5 linked regions of the Sus scrofa genome follow. The protein of the gene in region 1 purifies or fractionates together with the protein of each later gene. This does not show direct contact. Links are inferred from orthologs where the notes say so. Each region holds a gene or a part of one and is shown in the gene's direction. Other genes may lie near its edges.

The links.
Region 2: the proteins of MAVS (region 1) and IFIH1 purify together in Homo sapiens (affinity purification with western blotting; 12 studies listed by BioGRID and IntAct, with this or other methods). This does not show direct contact. The link is inferred for Sus scrofa from reciprocal best matches to the Homo sapiens genes MAVS and IFIH1.
Region 3: the proteins of MAVS (region 1) and TRIM25 purify together in Homo sapiens (affinity purification with western blotting; 3 studies listed by BioGRID and IntAct, with this or other methods). This does not show direct contact. The link is inferred for Sus scrofa from reciprocal best matches to the Homo sapiens genes MAVS and TRIM25.
Region 4: the proteins of MAVS (region 1) and EIF2AK2 purify together in Homo sapiens (affinity purification with western blotting; 3 studies listed by BioGRID and IntAct, with this or other methods). This does not show direct contact. The link is inferred for Sus scrofa from reciprocal best matches to the Homo sapiens genes MAVS and EIF2AK2.
Region 5: the proteins of MAVS (region 1) and NLRX1 purify together in Homo sapiens (affinity purification with western blotting; 4 studies listed by BioGRID and IntAct, with this or other methods). This does not show direct contact. The link is inferred for Sus scrofa from reciprocal best matches to the Homo sapiens genes MAVS and NLRX1.

The regions. Positions count from the first base shown.
Region 1 is NC_010459.5:31,852,269-31,855,785, reverse strand, and holds part of MAVS (mitochondrial antiviral-signaling protein), read left to right. Parts: coding exon 1-210; 3' UTR 211-3,517.
Region 2 is NC_010457.5:68,943,636-68,947,152, reverse strand, and holds part of IFIH1 (interferon-induced helicase C domain-containing protein 1), read left to right. Parts: coding exon 1-42; intron 43-1,155; coding exon 1,156-1,373; intron 1,374-2,721; coding exon 2,722-2,838; intron 2,839-3,517.
Region 3 is NC_010454.4:33,209,631-33,213,903, reverse strand, and holds the start of TRIM25 (E3 ubiquitin/ISG15 ligase TRIM25), read left to right. Parts: upstream 1-1,463; 5' UTR 1,464-1,564; coding exon 1,565-2,167; intron 2,168-4,273.
Region 4 is NC_010445.4:103,075,517-103,079,033, forward strand, and holds part of EIF2AK2 (interferon-induced, double-stranded RNA-activated protein kinase), read left to right. Parts: intron 1-3,072; coding exon 3,073-3,201; intron 3,202-3,517.
Region 5 is NC_010451.4:46,387,363-46,390,879, forward strand, and holds part of NLRX1 (NLR family member X1), read left to right. Parts: intron 1-658; coding exon 659-728; intron 729-1,164; coding exon 1,165-1,253; intron 1,254-1,777; coding exon 1,778-2,397; intron 2,398-3,078; coding exon 3,079-3,517.

The DNA.
Region 1 (3,517 bases):
ATTAGGATCCAGGGGGACCCCAGCACCCCACCTGTAGGGGACAGCCCGGGGCCACTCACTGCCTCGGAGTTCCAGGCAGAGGAGGAGTTGGAAGAGGGGTTGGAAGAGGTCAAGACTGAGGCTAGGGCTCCGTGGGTTGGGGTGGCGGTGGTTGGGGTGCTTCTGGCCACACTCCTGGCCATGCTGTACCGGCGGCGCCTGCCCCAGTGAGGCTCCTGGGCCCTGTCCACCACGTATCTGTTCCCTTCTCCAAGATACATCTGCCTGAGCCACAGAGCCAAGTTATCCCAGCATCCCTGACCCTTTTGTGGAGCTGGCAGAGGCTGGGTCAGAGGGGAGGCAGGGGGCCCCAGGCTTAGTCCTAGCAGGGAGCATTTCGGTCCCATTGTCCTCTGTGGCTCCCCCACCATCCTTGGCTTTTGGGGACCCGTGCTGCCCTGGGTGCTCCAGACCATCTGGCCATCTGGGTTGTTACCTTTGTCCTCTGGAGGAGGTGCCTCTGTCCCAAGTCCAAGGATCAGGAGGTGCAGCTGGAGACCGCAGGGCGTCAACAACATCCGCTGTCCTGCCCTGATCCCTGGCAGCCCACAGCAGATGGGTGGGGCAGGGGGCCCCACAGGACTTTGCTCCAGCCCCCAGGGGCCCCAGGAACAGCATGGTGGCCCATCTCTAAGGACCTAGTCCCCTGCCTCCCCTGGCACACAAGGATGGGAGGAGGTCCGGAGAGTCCCATGGACCCCTGGGAAGCCTGACCAGCTGCTGGGCCTGAGAACCACCTAAAGAGCCCCTCTCCAGCCCCCGTATCCTGGTCTCTCTTCACCTCCCTATGGGGGCTGGGGAGGGAACACCTGCAGGGCAGAGCTCAGGCCAAGGTGCAGATTTCGGCTCCACCCCTTCCTGGGCTGTGTGGCCTTGGCAGCTCATCAGACTTCTCTGGTCTTGCTCACCCATGTGGACGGTGAGTGTCATGCCTTATCCTTCACTGCCTTCTCCTGAGATTGAAGCCTACATGTCTTTGTCAAGTGCCTGGCTCAGAGCAGGTGGCTGCTAAATGCTTTTCCCCATCTCTCCCTGCCCGGCCTGGTGGAGATGAGGGGTGAGAGGCAGGGAGCCAGGTGGGTAAGGGGGTACCACTGTGCTGTAGGGTGGCCTAGGTCTGCATCCCGCTCTCACTAATTCTGTGCTCTTGGGCAAGATATTAACCTCTCTGTGCCTTAGTTTTCTCACCTGTAAAAAGAGGATGAGTAGTGGAATTTTATATATATAGATACACACGTCCTAGTGTCATAAGGATTAAATGAGTTTATCTATTTAAATCTTAGAATGGTTCCTGGCATTTCATTGACTAAGGGTTGGGTACATGTTTGTCACTATTCAATGTGGAGGGACTGGAGCACTTGGCTACACCGTTAGAAGCAGAGCCAGGCCATACGCCTATGTCCCTTTTATATTTGCCCCTTCCTTTGTCCCGGGCACTGGGGAATTACTGGGGAGGGAGGTCTATCCACTGGGGCAATTCTGCAGGGTGGGGGCTGGGGTGCTCCCCAGCAACCAGATGGATTGGGGGGTACCCTAGTGGGTTCTTTTCAGGCAGCCATTGCTGGACAAGGGGCAGGGACAGGGGCCTCGGGAGCTCCCTTCATTTCTGGGCTCTGCAAGCAGGACCAGAGCCCTGAGGAGACATAAGGGGTGGGCGTCCCTGGGACCCGCCCCCAAGCTGTCAGTCTGCAGGGTCCTGCACCCTGCTTGGGCTGCTACAGCCTTTCTTTGCACTGCCCTAGGGGACCTCAGCAGCCTAATGACCTTGGCTTCTACCTCTAGATTTCTCTTCAACCCTCTCCAAATGGAACAACCTGCACCCTGAAGCTAGGAGTGGTCCCTACCCACGCTGTCTGCAACCACTCCCTATCACCCTTGCTCTTAACCACCCCTCTGTGCTCCTTCTTCACTCCCAGGTATCCAAGTCAGGGAACAATTCATGCACAGGTACTGGTTTTAAAGTGCTACCCTCTCAAGGTGGCTTGGGAACAAAGTATCTCGACAGCAGTGTGTAGACCTAAGGGATGCTACATAAATGGTAGGATTTCAGAATTCCCATCATGGCTCAGAGGAAATGAATCCGACTAGGAACCATGAGGTTGCAGGCTTGATCCCTGGCCTCGCTCAGTGGGCTAAGGATCCAGCATTGCTGTGAGCTGTGGTGTAGTTCACAGATTCAGCTCGGATCTGGCGTTGCTGAGGCTGTGGCGTAGACTGGCAGCTGTAGCTCCAATTAGACCCCTAGCCTGGGAACCTCCATATGGGGGCAGCTCTAAAAAGCAAAAAAAGAAAAAAGGTAGGATTTCAAGTACGGTGACCAGCCAAGGGGGAGATACTTTTTGGATAAGGTGTGTAGAAAGCAGTCAGGGATGTACCTGGTCCTTTGCAAATTATGCTCCCCAGAAGCCCTGACTTGGCCTGCATCGAACAGCACCCCTATTTTGGCTGTTGTTGATCTGAAGGCCTCTAAAATGCCAACTTGAAGCAGGCTTGGGAATTGGCCAGTATATGGAGGCCTGTGGCCAGAAGAGGGCTTGGGGGAGTTGATGGGATGTGTCATATCTCAGGAGTCCTGGGTTTCAGCAGCAAGAGGGTGCGTGTGGGAGGGTTCCTCATCCCCATGGCCTGAGTGATGTGGAGGGAGGGAGGACCAAAGAGGGCCTTTACCCCAAGAGGTGAGCACAGCCACCTCTACCTAGAGGCTTGGAGAAGCACCCTTTACCTTTCAGTAAAGGCTGTGGGGCCAGAGGGGCCAATGGCATCCTAAACACTTACAGCAGCCTCACCTGTAGCCCAGTATACATCCGTATTTAAAAAAAAAAACAAAACACCCTCTCCATCTTTTCTCTCTCCTGTTGAAACATTTCCTGCAAAGCCCAAGAGCCACCAATGCTTCTCTTTTGCTGGGAAATAGCTGTCACCTTTGCTTGATGACCCACTGCAGCCAGACTCACATCACATCCTCACCTTGTTTTCCTGGTTGGATGTACTCAGATTTAACTGACTTAGGGGAATTTCTGGTCAAATATCAGCAAGATGCCCTTTCCTCTTTCAGGCTTTGGGTTGGGTTATTCATAGCTTCTTTTGTTTGTTTATCGGCCACGCCTGTGGCATTGTGGAAGTTCCTGGGTCAGGAATCAAACCTGGGCGATGGCAGCAACCCAAGCCAATGCTGGATCTTTAACCCACTGCACCAGAGGAGAACTCCCGTAGCTTCTAAGCATTTTTTTTTTTTTTTATGAAAAACTTTTAAGCTCACACGGTAGAATAGATAGAATAATACTCCCCACTCCATATGCCCATCATCCAGCATCAGTAATTGTGGACACATGGCTAGTCTTTTTGTTTGTTTGTTTTGTTTTTTGTCTTTTTGGGGCCACACCCACAGCATATGGAGGTGCCCAGGCTAGGGGTCGAATCAAAGCTGTAGCTGCTGGCCAAAGCCTCAGCCACAGCAATGCGTGATCCGAGCCACATC
Region 2 (3,517 bases), on another chromosome or scaffold:
TAAACTCAGAAGAAGGAGAAGACCCTGGTGTACAGCTGTCAGGTTGGTTAAAATGTTTATTTTTGGAAAGATAATTAGTAGTAATATTAATGGTAGTAAAAGAAGCTGTATTTCTTAGTTTTTAAAATGTTGATTTAAAAATTAATTATGATTTAGATTGTCTTCCATTTTTTTTTCAATAAAACCCTTCTTCCTTGTGAAAGCAAATAAAAAACTGGAGACGTTTTTAGTCAGATCACTTTATTCTGCATAAGAACATCACTTTTTTCCATCTTTTTGTCTTTTCTAGGGCTGCACCCATGGCATAGGTTGTTCCCAGGCTAGGGGTCCAATCAGAGCTATAGCCTCACCAGCCTACACCAGGGCCACAGCAACATGGGATCTGAGCCAACGTCTGCGACCTACACCACAGCTACCGGCAACGCCAGGTCCTTAACCCACTGAGCGAGGCCAGGGATCAAACCCAAAACCTCATGGTTACTAGTCGGGTTCGTTAACCACTGAGCCACAACGGGAACTCCAGAACATCATTATTAAATCAAACATTTTCTAGACTTTGCATTAATTCTGTATTTCTAAGTTCTTTTTATATGTTAGTGGATCCTGTTAGATATGCCTTCTTCTCCAGAGAGTAAATATAATCTTTTCTGTTTTGTGGGGGATGGGAAGAAAAGTTAGGCAAGAGGAAGAGAAAGAAGTATATATACTCATAATAATTAAATGCAAAGTTTAAACAAAGTAAAATGATTCCTCTTTAAATAGTGTTTTTCATTTGATAGAATGAAAATAAAATTCACCAACTTAAAATTATATATTTTATTAAAAAACAAAATTGCATTTCTGAGAGTTTTGGGGGAAAAGCCAGAGTTTGAAATCCATGCCATAACACTTTTTAGATCTATAAATTTTCCAAAACTCATCTATTAAATGAGCATAATAGTTAACAGAGATAATTTCCTGATTACTGTACATGAACTTATGTATTTACAGGTGGCTAGGATAGTTGCATTTGCCCTTAAAAAGTAAAAACTGCTTGTGTCAGTATTCTGCCCAAGAAAATACATCTCCAAGGCAGCTCAGTCTACCAGCTAAAAGAGCCTTTTTTAACTGTATTTTGTCAGTATGGGCAAATAAACCATTTAAATTTTTTTTAAGACTTTTCTCTCATCATCATTGACGAATGCCATCACACCAACAAAGAAGCAGTCTATAATAACATCATGAGGCGTTATTTGAAACAGAAATTGAAAAACAATAAACTCAAGAAAGAAGAGAAACCAGTGATTCCCTTACCTCAGATATTGGGACTAACAGCCTCACCAGGTGTTGGGGGAGCCAAAAAGCAAGCCAAAGCTGAAGAACATATTTTAAAAGTAAGTCATTAACTTTCTTCATAACCAGAAAAACCAAAGTTAGAGCAAATGCCAATACTTCTTGGGTAAGATTAGGTCCAGATGCCATGGAGTGCAGGAAAGAAGCTATTCCATGATCATCAGTTGAGCGAAATCTATATGCTTTAGTTAATGTAAATACACTCAGTCTTCTACAAAATAGAAATATGCCTTAGTAAATAACTATGACATGGAATAATAGCCCCCAAATTATAGAGAGCAAACGTAAGTATTAAAAAATTGGGACAAATGAAATACCTTCCTTTAAATATCTACTCCTATTTTTAAACTTAATGATCTACTTTATATAGAAATATGCATAAGCTAAGAAAGTTTCTAATTTCATACATACTCCATGAGTTTTAGAATTGCATATTTTCTTCTGAGCCTTTTTTTGTTCTGTGTGATTCTCAGATTCTAGGTAATTCAAATTAAATGGGAAAATGGAGATATGAGAATCTTTAAATTTGTTTTGTTTTGTTTTGTTTTTTTCTTTTTTGGCTGCCCTGTGGCCTATGGAATTTCTGGACCAGGGATCAGATCTGAGCCACAGCTGTGACCTACACCACAGCTGTAGCAATGCAGGATCTTTAACCCACAGGCCAGGGATTGAACTTGCATCCTGGCACTTCAGTGACATCAACAGTACTGTTGTACCACAATAGGAACTCCAAAAGTCTATATCTTGTCAGCTGCCTGCAGATGGTAACAATATATACAGTGCTTTTGTTGATCTCAAGCACTGAAAGAATTCAGAGTAATTCACAAAGTATGTTAGCGCTAAAGCCCTTACTTTAAGTTGAAGTCAGTGAAAATCATATAGAGTAGACAAAAGCACAATTATTGGTTAGAACATATAATTTATTACTAGTATTAAGGATTAACTGCAATTCAAATTCAGGCACATGGGCTTCAGCTGCTCCTAGCTTTGTAGTATCCTCTTTTATGTGTGGAAGAAAGTGATAATATGATCCATGGATATCAAGATGACCTTTAAAATGCATCATGTAATATGGTTATCTCATAACCATTCTTGCTGATCTCTGCAATTTGCTGTATTCTCTCCACATCGTTTTTTTCAGCTGGAAAGTGAAATTTAAGGAATGTAAATAAATATATTTCTTTCTGGAATTTTCTGCCAACCCAATTTCAAAGCATCTTTTTACTCTATCAGGGTAGATTTTGTTGGCTAATCAGATCCACAGTAAGGCAATATTAAAATGCTATATTTAGCAAATTGTGCTACCTATTTCTTACATGAGAAAGATTTCTGCATTGAGTTAATTGAAAGGGAAAAGTATTTGAATATCAAAACCTGTCTCTTTTCCAGATATGTGCCAATCTTGATGCATTTACCATTAAAACTGTGAAAAAAAATATTAATCAACTTAAAGACCAAATAAAGGAGCCATGCAAAAAGTTTGTAATCGCAGATGACACCAGAGAAGTATGTGCTTAAGATTTTATATTTATTTACTTGATGACATCATACCTAACTGCAAAGGTCATTTTACAGTGAGCATCCAAAGAATATTATTTTAAAATTTTAGCAAAGAGTTACAGTTTTATTAAATTTTATTGATATTAGGCAGCAAGGCACTGCTGTGAATTCACTGTTCAAATCTTTTAGTTTTCTGAACTAGATGAAGAGTAGCTCAATAACTGGTTGATGGTTGATATATATGAACTGTGGGGTGGGAAGGATTGTGAAGCTAGAGGGGTTAACATAGTTTCTCTTATTCTTTTTACTTTCTTGGTGAATTCCAGTATTTGTTTCTTGACATTGAACAGAGCCATTTTTTGCTACCAGATTACAGTTGGTGGTGATAATGAGAATCCTACCTAATTGGCATATTTACCTTCTTAAGAAAATACTTATGGTAAAGAAGTGAAATATTTACTTTAATGGTGTTTTTGGAATAAGTATCTTCACTGATTATAAAAACCAACTTAGAGTCAGTTTGGACATTATGACTAGTACATTATGTCAATACATTCTTTTGCAAAATATAAAAAGTAGGATAAATTTTAGCTTTACTTACTTGATAATAAATTTAAGCTCTGTGTACTTGAGGTTCTGAAAATCTACCTCATAAGAATGTTGGATATGAAATATGCACAATAGA
Region 3 (4,273 bases), on another chromosome or scaffold:
TTATCATATCGGAGATATTAACATCCTGTCAGTCTCAACCTATTTCAAAAGACAAACATCTTAGGTCGTAGAGCTGGCTCAAATAGAATTGTGTTAGAAATCAGTAACAGTAAGATACCCAGGAAAGTGTTAAATATTTGGAAATGAAGCCATCTCCTTATAAGTAATTACAAATAAATAACAAAGGAAATTAGAAAATATTTTGAGTGGGAGTTCCCGTCGTGGCACAGTGGTTAACAAACCCGACTAGGAACCATGAGGTTGAGGGTTCGATCCCTGGCTTTGCTCAGTGGGTTAAGGATCCAGCCTTGCCGTGAGCTGTGGTGTAGGTTGCAGACGCGTCTCGGATCCCGCGTTGCTGTGGCTCTGGCGGAGGCAGAGGCTACGGCTCCGATTCGACCCCTAGCCTGGGTGGGAATCTCCACATGCCTCGGGAGCAGCCCTAGAAAAGGCAAAAAAAAAAAAAAAAAAAAAAAAAAAAATATTTTGAGTGAAATGATAATGAAAACACATATATCAAAACTTGTGGATGGAGTTCCTGGGTGGTGCAGCAGGGTAAAGATCTGGCGTTGTCAGAGCTGTGGTGCAGATTCAGTCCCTGGCGCTGTAACTTCTGCAGGCCAAGGGAGATTGACAATCTAGATTTATAGTTGTAAACATTTATATTAGAAAAGAAAAAAGTTTAACAGCAGCGATCCAATGTGCCAACTTAACGAATTTGAAAAAGAGCAAATTAAACCAAAAGTAAATAGAAGGAAATAAGAGACATGAGAAGAAATCAATGAAAAAAAGAGCAGAGAAGCCAAAAGTTGGATTTTTGGAAAAAATTAATAAAATCCATAAAATCTATTAGATGGCTTAAGAAAAGAAGGGAAACCCAGATTACTTAGATCAGGAATGAGAGAGCGGTGATTACTACAGATTCTACTGACATTACCCCCGGGTGTGACCCTGCCTGCAGAGATTGAAGGCCGATATGCCAGAGCCCAGGACCAGGGAAGAGGAAGGATGGGGTTTTTTTAAATAAGAAAAGGCAGCGAATACTTTACTGTTCCCACAGTTATTTTTGAAAGACCTGTCTTGATGAGACAGCCTTGCTCGCGGGGGCGGTGGGACAACTTGGGTCTGGACGAGTTTTCGGAAGGAACGGATCAGATCCAGGCGCGTTTGTGCTGTAGTCAGTCCCCTGACTGCTGGGATCCCGGGTTCTCCACGCAACGTGTCAGTTTTCTCATCCGCAGAGGGGCCGTAAGATCCCCCCTGGTGGTCCAGAGTCTCGTCTGAAACCCTGAGCCCAGCGCCCCGTACCCACACTCCGCGGGAGCCACCGGGATTCGAACGTCGCCAGTCGGACCTCAGCGACCCCTGGACCCCGCCCGCCCCGGGACCCCATGGGGCCCGTTCCACCTCCGCGCTCAACCCCACCCTACCCCACGTGACTTCCTGAAAGGCCGGGGGACCGCCCCTCCTGCAGCTCAGTTTCGTTTCCTTGGAGGCATCGGGGCGATAGCGCAGCAGTCGCGGCAGTTCCCGCGCGTCACGTCGGGTCCCCTCACGGAGCGCCATGGCGGAACTGTGCCCCCTGGCCGAGGAGCTGTCATGCTCCATCTGCCTGGAGCCCTTCAAGGTGCCGGTCACCACGCCGTGCGGCCACAACTTCTGCGGGTTGTGCCTGGATGAGACGTGGGCCGTCCAGGGCCCGCCGTACCTGTGCCCGCAGTGTCGCACGGGCTACGAGACGCGGCCGCAGCTGCGCAAGAACACCGTTTTGTGCGCGGTGGTGGAGCAGTTCCTGCAGGCCGAGCAAGCCCGGCCCGCGGTCCTCGACAGCGATGGCTGGACGCCGCCCGCCCGCGCCGCCGCCTCCAGCCCGGCCGGCCAAGTGGCCTGTGACCACTGCCTACAGGCGACCGCCGTCAAGACTTGTCTCGTGTGCATGGCCTCCTTCTGCCAGGAACACCTGAGGCCGCACCTCGACAGCCCCGCCTTCCGGGACCACCCGCTGCAGCCGCCAGTCCGAGACCTGATGCGCCGCAAGTGCCCCCAGCACAACCGGCTTCGAGACTTCTTCTGCCCTGAGCACAGCGAGTGCATCTGCCACGTCTGCCTGGTGGAGCACAAGACCTGCTCGCCTGCACCCCTGAGCCAGGCCAGCACCGACCTGGAGGTAGGAGTGGTGGCCCAGGGCACAGAGGGGCAGCCTGGGGCTACTGGGTTGTGCAGAGGGCACCACAGTGGGCTACCTTGGATCACCCCGGGGCGAGGGAGGGGCCTTGCTGGGCCTGAGATGGGGCAGGGGCTTGGGGGTTTCAGGGTAGAAAGGGGCTGGGAGAAGGTACAAACTTCCTCTCATTCCGGGTTCACCTCCCCTATGCCCACCCCACTCACCCATTTTACAAAGGGAACCACTGAAGACTCATGCTTGCCTTAAGCCTAGCACTTGTCTGATGATGTTTAGAAGAGGGTTTTGAAGGTCAGATATAGTGCTGGAGGTTACCTCTGTTCTCTCAATAAATCCTGATAGCACCTGGGAGGTGGGTACCATGAGTTCCATTTTACAGCTGAGGAAGTGGAGGTTCAGAGAAGGTCATTTAGCCTGAGCTAACCCAAGTGGCCAAGGGGGAATTGAGCTGCCATCTGGGCTGCCTCCACAGTTGCCTTTTCTCCCCATGGACCAGCCTCAAAACCAAGTCCGCAACATTCAGAGTGTGAGACACTTCTGGAGGTTTGTTGGGGGTCATGTGCGAAAAAGCCTTTGGTGAGCCAGAGACTTCTAGTGACCAGGGAGGATCGTGTTGAGTGGAAGGGTGGGCAGCGTCCCAGGAATTCTTGGATATGATGCACAGGGAGAGCCAGACTCTTGCGCCATAGAGCCCTCTCTCCTGCCTGGCCACTTTTCAGTCCGGGATTGGTCTTCATTCCTAAAGCGAGGAGGTGGGGCCAGGTGGATTCTTAAGAGGGCTTTTGGATCTGTGATGCTTTCAGTGGTTTTGGGATCATAATTTCTCCCTGTGGACTCAAGGCAGAGGCTGAAAAGGTGTAGGCAAAGTTTTGTTATCTAAGCTCAAAAGTGAGGCCTGATTTCCTTTCTCTCATGAGGACTTGTTAAGGGGAGCAAGAAGGGCTGTCCTTATGCTGGCAAAGGAGATATAAGCCCTGTGGCACCAGGACCTGGGTGCAGGCCTTGCTCCCAACTGGCCACAGCCCACCCCTGGCCTGGTCTGCTTCTCCAGTCTGCCCTGGGTTCCTGTGGACTTTCTCCCTGAGTCCCAGGAACCAGGCCTCAGGCAGTGCCTGGCCGGTGACTTTGGAGGTACAGTCATCTCAGGTCTGGCCCACCCAGGTCTCCACCTGCTGCAGGGAAGACCCTGGCTGGTCTTTGGAGCCTGGAGCCCTGCTCTGCCCTGCTAGCGGTGGTTCAGGGCAAGTCCCTGTCGTTCTCTGAGCCTCAGTTTCTTCATCTGTAAAATGGGATTCCTAGCATTCCCTCCCCTGTTTTGGGTCGTCTTGAGCTGTGTGGGAAGTGCTTTGTAGGCAGGCCCTACGGGTCAGGCTGCTTAACATGGGCTGTGACCAGAGCTGGATGTTGAGACCTGGGTTTGGATTCTGGCTCTGCTTCCTAGCTGGGAACTCATAAAAGGGGCCAATAGCAATACCTATCTCAGAAGGCTACCGGGAGGATTGAATGAGGCGACCCATAAGCTGCGTTTTACAGTGAATGCTTTGTAGAGCTGCCGTTATCGTTTAAGCTGCTCAGAAATGCCCGGAAGAGAGTTTGCTGTGTGGACGGTGTCAGGCTGCCTGGATCCTCTTTGCCTCAGGGTGTGTGAGCCTGAGTTCTAGGGCAACCCGGCTCCTGTGGAGTGGCCTTCTAGGAAGTTCCGGTCATGGCTTAGCAGTAACGAATCCAGCTAGTATCCATGAGGACATGGGTTCGATCCCTGGCCTTACTCAGTGGGTTAAAGATCTGGCGTTGCCATGAGCTGTGGGGTAGGTCGCAGATGTGGCTCGGATCTGGCATTGCTGTGGCTGTGGTGCAGGCCAGCAGCTACAGCTCCAATTAGACCCCCAGCCTGAGAACTTCCGTATGCTCCTGGTGTGGCCCTAAAAAAAAAAAAAGAAGAGCCCTTCTAGAAGTTTTTGTCTAGGAGGCAGAAGGCAAGTAGGGGCAGAAAGGCCCTTCTCAGCCTGGTGTGGAGCCTCAGCTTCCTCAGCCTGCAGGGTCTGGAGCTGGAGTCTGTCACTGGATTATTTGTGTGCCCTACACGCTTGG
Region 4 (3,517 bases), on another chromosome or scaffold:
GCGACTCCAGTGACGGGGGCTTTGGGAACATGGTTCTCCAAGTTTTCAGTCTTTACTCTTGAGGCGGTCACAGCTTTTTAGGTCCAAAGTCTAGAATTTTCTTGGCATTTGGTTAGACATCTGTGCCTCACAATTGGAAATTCATAGTAATCTAAACTTTGGCACACAGAGCTTACCTTCATATTCTCTTTTTCTTCTGGCCTCCTAACTTCTTTCATGGTCTCGATGAACAGTTTCCCATTTCCTCCTCAAAATGAAAGAAGGGAGACAGAAGAGGCTTTCAGTCTCTCCTCCATACACTGTTCCCTCTGATTTGCCTACGGACATCACAAACTGGCCATGCTGAAACCCATCACCAACCTTTGCTCATGTTCTTGCATGGGACACTTTTCTGCTTGTCCCCTTTGGTCCCAATTCCTTTATGAGCCTTTCCTGATCACTCTGGATTAGATAGACGTGCCTTGTCTATATGGACCTTGGCTGTCAATTTACCCCACCTGTCTAAAAAAGCCAGAAATGAGAAACGAAGCAAACAATTTCCTGGAAAAAAAATTCTATGTATATAGTTGGGCCTAGGTAGGGAAAAATGACCCTTAAGTGGTATTGCTTCCCTGGCCTGCTGAGAGGCTGGATGTCTGATCCCTTCATGTTGGAGTTCACCTGGTTCCAAGATCTCTCTTTAACAGTATCTAAAGGTGTTCTTTAAAGTTGGAATGCTGTAAGGACTGCGTTCTAAAGGATACATTTAGAATGACTATACTTTCACTGTGAAACAAATCAAATATAGAGTTAAATAAGAAATGAAGCACAATTATCTATTTATACAATTATTTGCAAATAAATTATCTATTTACACAGTCATTTCCTCTACTATTTACACCGAGGTTTGGGTATCACCTCCCAGGCCCTCCTCAGGATGAGTTAGTGAAATCCTGATTGGTGCTGATGGGATTCTTGCTTCTGCTATCTGGTCTGCCAGTTCCCTCCTGTATCTTGCAATGCCTGTACCTGTGCCTTTGCATAGAATGTTCACTCTATTTCTGCGGATTCTCAAAGGTTAAACTTTAATACTACTGAGCCTTCTTTTTCATCTTCTTCAGCTTTTCTAGCTTCACTGCTACAGTTACTGCTTTCTGATATCTGAGAGAAGATGCATACAAAGACATGCACCTTATTTTGTGATGCTTTGCAAAATACCTGCTGCTGGTGGCTTTGCCAGGGAACAGTCTTTACCCAATGCCCCTATTCTATAAAGTCAACCAAATTTTACCACCTTCTGTCAGAATCTTGAGAACTAGACTAAAGATACTGGTGAGGGATATAGAGCCTTCTAGGGGTGAGGGCTTACAGCCTAATTGGCCCAGGTTCCTAAGACAGCCTCAACCTGATCATCAACCTTTATTCCTGTGCCTCCTGTATAAAGTTTATAACTTTTTTTATCCTTTACCACCCAACATTTTGCCTAGTCATATCATCACTGAATAGACTAAAAGTGGCATTGATTTTCTTTTTCTTTTTAGTAAGATATCAACAAGTAGCCTAATATTCTTATTAGACTGGCCCACCCAGCTTATATATTTAGACAGTATCCTAAATGCAACCTCCTGTTTCTCAGAGTCAGGTTATAGACTTGCGTGGGACCAGTAGTTGTACTTGCAAACCCAGACATTCCTACTTTGTAACTTGTAGGAAGGCAGAGGCACATTTTTCTCTCCATACTCCCACACATCAGCAGCTTTCCAACTGTGTTATCGGTGGTGGGTTCCAATCTAACAGTGGCTCGTTCTAATCTGACTGCTGATTTCTCCATGAGCCTTTTCAGACTGGTTCTCGGAAGCTCCTCTTTCAGCCTTCTTGGGCTTATGGTCTCGTCTCTTTCACTTTCTTTATGAGGCCCTCTAGTAAGTGTTGTCTCCTAGAGTCTGGTGTGTATGTATAGGCCAGTATTGTATTGAAAGTAGCCTTTTCAAGAATGACACAATATTAGTTTCCTCATCAACAACCTTCATGTTTTCATAGTTTTTGGAATATTGGTCAATACTTTCTAAAAGTTGTGTATGGAGTTCCCGTCGTGGCTCAGCAGAAACGAATCTGACTAGGAACCTTGAGGTTTGCGGGTTCCATCCCTGGCCTTGCTCAGTGGGTCAAGGACCCGGCGTTGCCGTGGGCTGTGGTGTAGGTCGCAGACATGGCTTGGATCCTGAATTGCTGTGGTTGTGGCGTAGGCTGGCAGCTACAGCTCCGATTAGACCCCTAGCCTGGCAACCTCCATATGCTGCGGATGTGGCCCTAAAAAGCAAATAAATAAAGAAATAAATAAAAGTTATGTAATGGGAAGAACATTCCTCATTTTGTTCTTCCTTTTCTTTCTATTCTCCCCCCCTTTTTTTCCTTCAATCTGCTTAAAGAACCACATAGAAAAAAATGTGTCCATTTAACTTGGTATCCCTTCAAGGATAGAGGGGATATGTTTGTGAAGAGGTTATCAGGAACTTGGAGAAATGGACATAAAGGAGGCCTCCCCAGGAAATTCTGCACATGATATTCTGCAGAATTATTGGGAATAAACTCATTCTGAGAATCTCAAAACTGGAAGCAATCTTAAGGGCATCTACTTCAACCCCCATCAAATCCTGGACTCATATTTGCAACATTTCCACCAAGTGAGTGTCCAGCCCTGTCTTAAATACTTCCTGGGATGTGGAACTCTCTAAATTCCATTTTTTAAACCACATAATTAGTAGATCAGGATATATTAAAGCAAATTTTGTGATTATTTCCACCATCCAGTCCTGGATCCATCCCCTGGGACCATGCAGAGTGAATCCGCCTTCCACTTACCTTCAGATATTTAAGGCAGCCATGCCCAAAGCCTCTGCTGTCAGCCAAAGAGTCCTTACTTCCTCAGTGGCATTTTAAAGACTGATGATATTAAATTTCCTGTTTTGGGCTGCCTGTGTAAGGTGAATGCCTTATAAGTAAATATAAAAACTTAATATACTAAATATGATTTGGATGTTGATGACAGTCTGTCAAATTGGTACTTATAAATATAATTTTTTTTTTCTGTAGCCAGGTAACATATTTTTAGTAGATACAAACCAAATAAAGATTGGAGACTTTGGACTTGTAACATCCCTGAAAAATGATGAAAAGCGGACAAGTCGAAAGGGAACTTTGCGATACATGAGCCCAGAACAGGTGAGATTGCCTTCCCTTCTGTTTATGTTTTTTACCTCTTTCATTTTTTTAACTATAAAAATGATAGACATCTCTCATAAAATTAAAACAGTACAGAAGTAAATAGAATAAAAGTGGAAAAATTCACCTTACCCTTCCTTTCTATTCCTACTCTTCTCACTAGAATTTGTGATTTATCCTTTTAAATCATTATCCTTGAGTTATTACAGTTATGTAGATACAGGAATTCTCTTGTGGTGTAGCAGGTTAAGGATCTGGTGTCATCCCTGCAACAGCTTGAGTCGATGCTATGGTGAGGGTTTGATCTCTGGCCCGT
Region 5 (3,517 bases), on another chromosome or scaffold:
CAGACTCGATGGTCTTTGAGGGTCCCTGTAACTGTATAAGTCCAGGAACACTTGCCTGATTTCATTTTACATTCGACAAATATTTACTGAGTGCCTGCTATGTGCCAGACCCCATGCTAAGTTCTAAGTAAATAATTGTGAACCCAGACAGATGCGATGCCTGCTCTCATGGAGGAATAAGGGGTATGTATGAATGAATGTTAATAAAATAATTGCGTAATGAAATATAAAAATTGCATAATAACTACTACAAAGGGGCAATACATGATGCTATGAGAGCAAATAATGAGGGATTTTTTTTTTTTTTTTTTTTTTTTTTTTTTGCTTTTTAGGGCCACACCCGCAGCATATGGAAGTTTCCAAGCTAGTGGTCAAATTGGAGCTGTAGCTGCTGGCCTACACCACAGCCACAGCAATGTGGGATCCAAGCCGTGTCTGCGACCTACACCACAGCTCACGGCAACGCTGGATCCTTAACCCACCGAGCGAAGCCAAGGATTGAACCAGGAACCTCATGGATGTTAGTCGGGCTCGTTTCTTCTGAGCCACAATGGGAACTCCTAATGAGGGATTTGATGTAGATGTGGGGTCTATGTGTTGTTGAGCTAATATGGGTGAGTTCTGGATGCTATTTCTTCCTTCTTTTTTCTCTCCATAGATGAACGTATCCCTTTCCTGATCCACTGGAGTTGGCCCCTTAGAGGGCAGCGACCCCTTGGGCCCCCTAGGTGAGGCCACGGTGTCATACCTTGGAGCACATCTGGGCACAGCAGGGTAGCTGGGAGGGGTTAGGACTTGAGGAGAACTTGACCGCCTGGGGAGAGGTTGGCCTTCTGGGGATGGAGAGGGTACAGTGTCAGTTACCAGGCCTGAGAGGAAGTTGGGTTACATCATCCGCTGTACAAGTCACAGTGGCCAGCCTGAGTTTCAGGCAGGCAGCCAGCAGTGGGGGGGGGGGGGGGGCTAGAGGGCTGGGGTGAGACCTCCGTCTCTCGGAAGGGTGTGAGAATCAGAGAGGCTCTGGGCCTGAGTGTCCAGGGTCAGGCCTGGATCTCAGGAGGCCAGAAGTCCATCATTCCAGGCATTCTTGAGTTGGGCTCTGAGCCTGTGTGGAGCCCGAGCCCAATAGCCAAGCTCCAGCTCACCTCTTCCCCTTGCTCACAGGGCCTTTATACGCCACCACGGAAGCTCAGCGGACAGTGATCCCCCACCAGGGAGGCACAGGCTGTTGTTCCAGGGCGCTGCTGCAACTGGTAAAGGGACCGGCTTCTCAATCACCCTGAGAAGGGCTGCAGGGATCTCACTGTGGGGATGGGGCGGGGGAGAAGGGCTTGGAGAGAGAAGCAGGCAGGAAGGAGGAGGATAGAGGATCCACCGTCATCATGATCATCTGTCAGTGGACCCACCCTCCCTCGCCCCATCATCCGTCTGTCCGCATATCCCTTCCCACAACACAAGGCTCGCTTCTGATGTGCAGAGCCCTGGGAGGGATCTATCACCCCACCTCCACTGCCTCTAACTGTCAGAAGATGGTACCCAGATAATCACGCAGCCAGTCAGCCCAGGCTCACCACCACTCTTCTCATGGCTCCTCATTTTCTGCCGCAGGGGTCCAAACCTCCGGACAGTCTGAGGGAGTCCTGCGTGTCCAGCACCATTCTGGGCCCCAGCCCTTCCTGGTGCTGGGCCTTGACTCCGCCACCTCACCCTATCAGCTCCCTGAGCGCCTGCATTTCCGGGCCTCTCCCTGATGCATCCCCCTTGCCTTCCCATCCAGAAGCCATCCAGCAGCACCGCCGGAACCTGGCTGAGTGGTTCAGCCGGCTGCCCAGGGAAGAGCGCCAGTTCGGCCCGACCTTTGCACTAGACACAGTCCACGTGGACCCTGTGATCCGAGAGAGCACCCCCGATGAGCTGCTCCGCCCTACGGCTGAGTTGGCCCTGGAGCATCATCCACCCTCTGCCGGGCTCCCCCCACTGGCCCTGTCTCAGCTCTTTGACCCAGATGCCTGCGGGCGCCGGGTGCAGACCGTGGTGCTCTACGGAACAGTGGGCACTGGCAAGAGCACGCTGGTGCGCAAGATGGTTCTGGATTGGTGTTATGGGCGGCTGCCAGCCTTTGAGCTGCTCATCCCCTTCTCCTGCGAGGACCTGTCATCTCTGGGCCCTGCACCAGCCTCCTTGTGCCAACTGGTGGCCCAGCGCTACACGCCCCTGAAGGAGATTCTGCCTCTGATGGCCTCTGCAGGCTCCCGCCTCCTCTTTGTGCTCCATGGCCTAGAGCATCTCAACCTCAATTTCCAGTTGGCGGACACAGGGCTTTGCAGTGACCTTGAGGAGCCAAAGGCACCAGCTGCCATCATTGTCAATCTGCTGCGCAAATACATGTTGCCGGAGGTGAGTGCCCCTTGCTCTGCCTCCATTGTCCCCACCTTGTTCCCTAAGGATTTTTGTGACCTGGAGCTGTATCTTTAATGGGTAAGGAGTGTAGGCTCTGGGTTAGTTCAAATCCTGCCCCTCCACTTCCCAGGTGTAGCACCGAGCAAGTCAGGAACTTCCTCAAGCTTCTGTTTTCTTCTCTCCTTAAGTTGTAGGGATCAAATGAGACACTGCACATGAAGTGCTTAGTGTTGCTTAGTGTGGTGCCCTGGACCATAGTAGGTGCTCAATAAGTGTGAGCTGGAATTACTATGTCATCATCATCTTCATCCTTGAACACTCAGTCTTCAGGGCCTCCTGGCAAGGGAGGCAATTAGAACACCAGGGTCTCTCTCCTTTTTTTTTTTTTTTTTTTTTTTTTTTTTTTTTTTTGGTCTTTTTTAGGGCTGCACCTGAGGCATATGGAAATTCCCAGGCGAGGAGTCGAATTGGAGCTGTAGCTGCCAGCCTGGACTACAGCCACAGCAACTCAGGATCTGAGCCACACCTGTGACCTACACCACAGCTCACAGCAACGCCAGAGCCTTAATCTGCTGGGATCGAACCCACATCCTCATGGATACTAGTCGGGTTTGTTGCTGCTGAGCCGCAACGGGAACTCCCAGGGTCTCTCTTAACCTTCAACTCTGCTCTTCCCAGGCCAGTATTCTGGTGACCACCCGGCCCTCTGCCATTGGCCGCATCCCCAGCAAGTATGTGGGCCGCTATGGCGAGATCTGTGGCTTCTCTGATACCAACCTACAGAAGCTCTACTTCCAGCTCCGCCTCAACCAGCCAGACTGCGAGCACGGAGCTGGGGGAGCGGGTGTCTCGGCCACGCTGGCTCAGCATGACAACCTGGTGGAGATGCTCTCCCGGAACCTGGAGGGGCACCACCAGATCGCTGCCGCCTGCTTCCTGCCCTCCTACTGCTGGCTTGTCTGTGCCACCTTGCACTTCCTGCATGCCCCCACGCCTGCCGGCCAGACCCTCACAAGCATCTACACCAGCTTCCTGCGTCTAAACTTCAGTGGGGAGATGCTGGACAGCACTGACCCCTCCAAGTTGTCCCTGATGGCCTATGCAGCCCGAACCATGG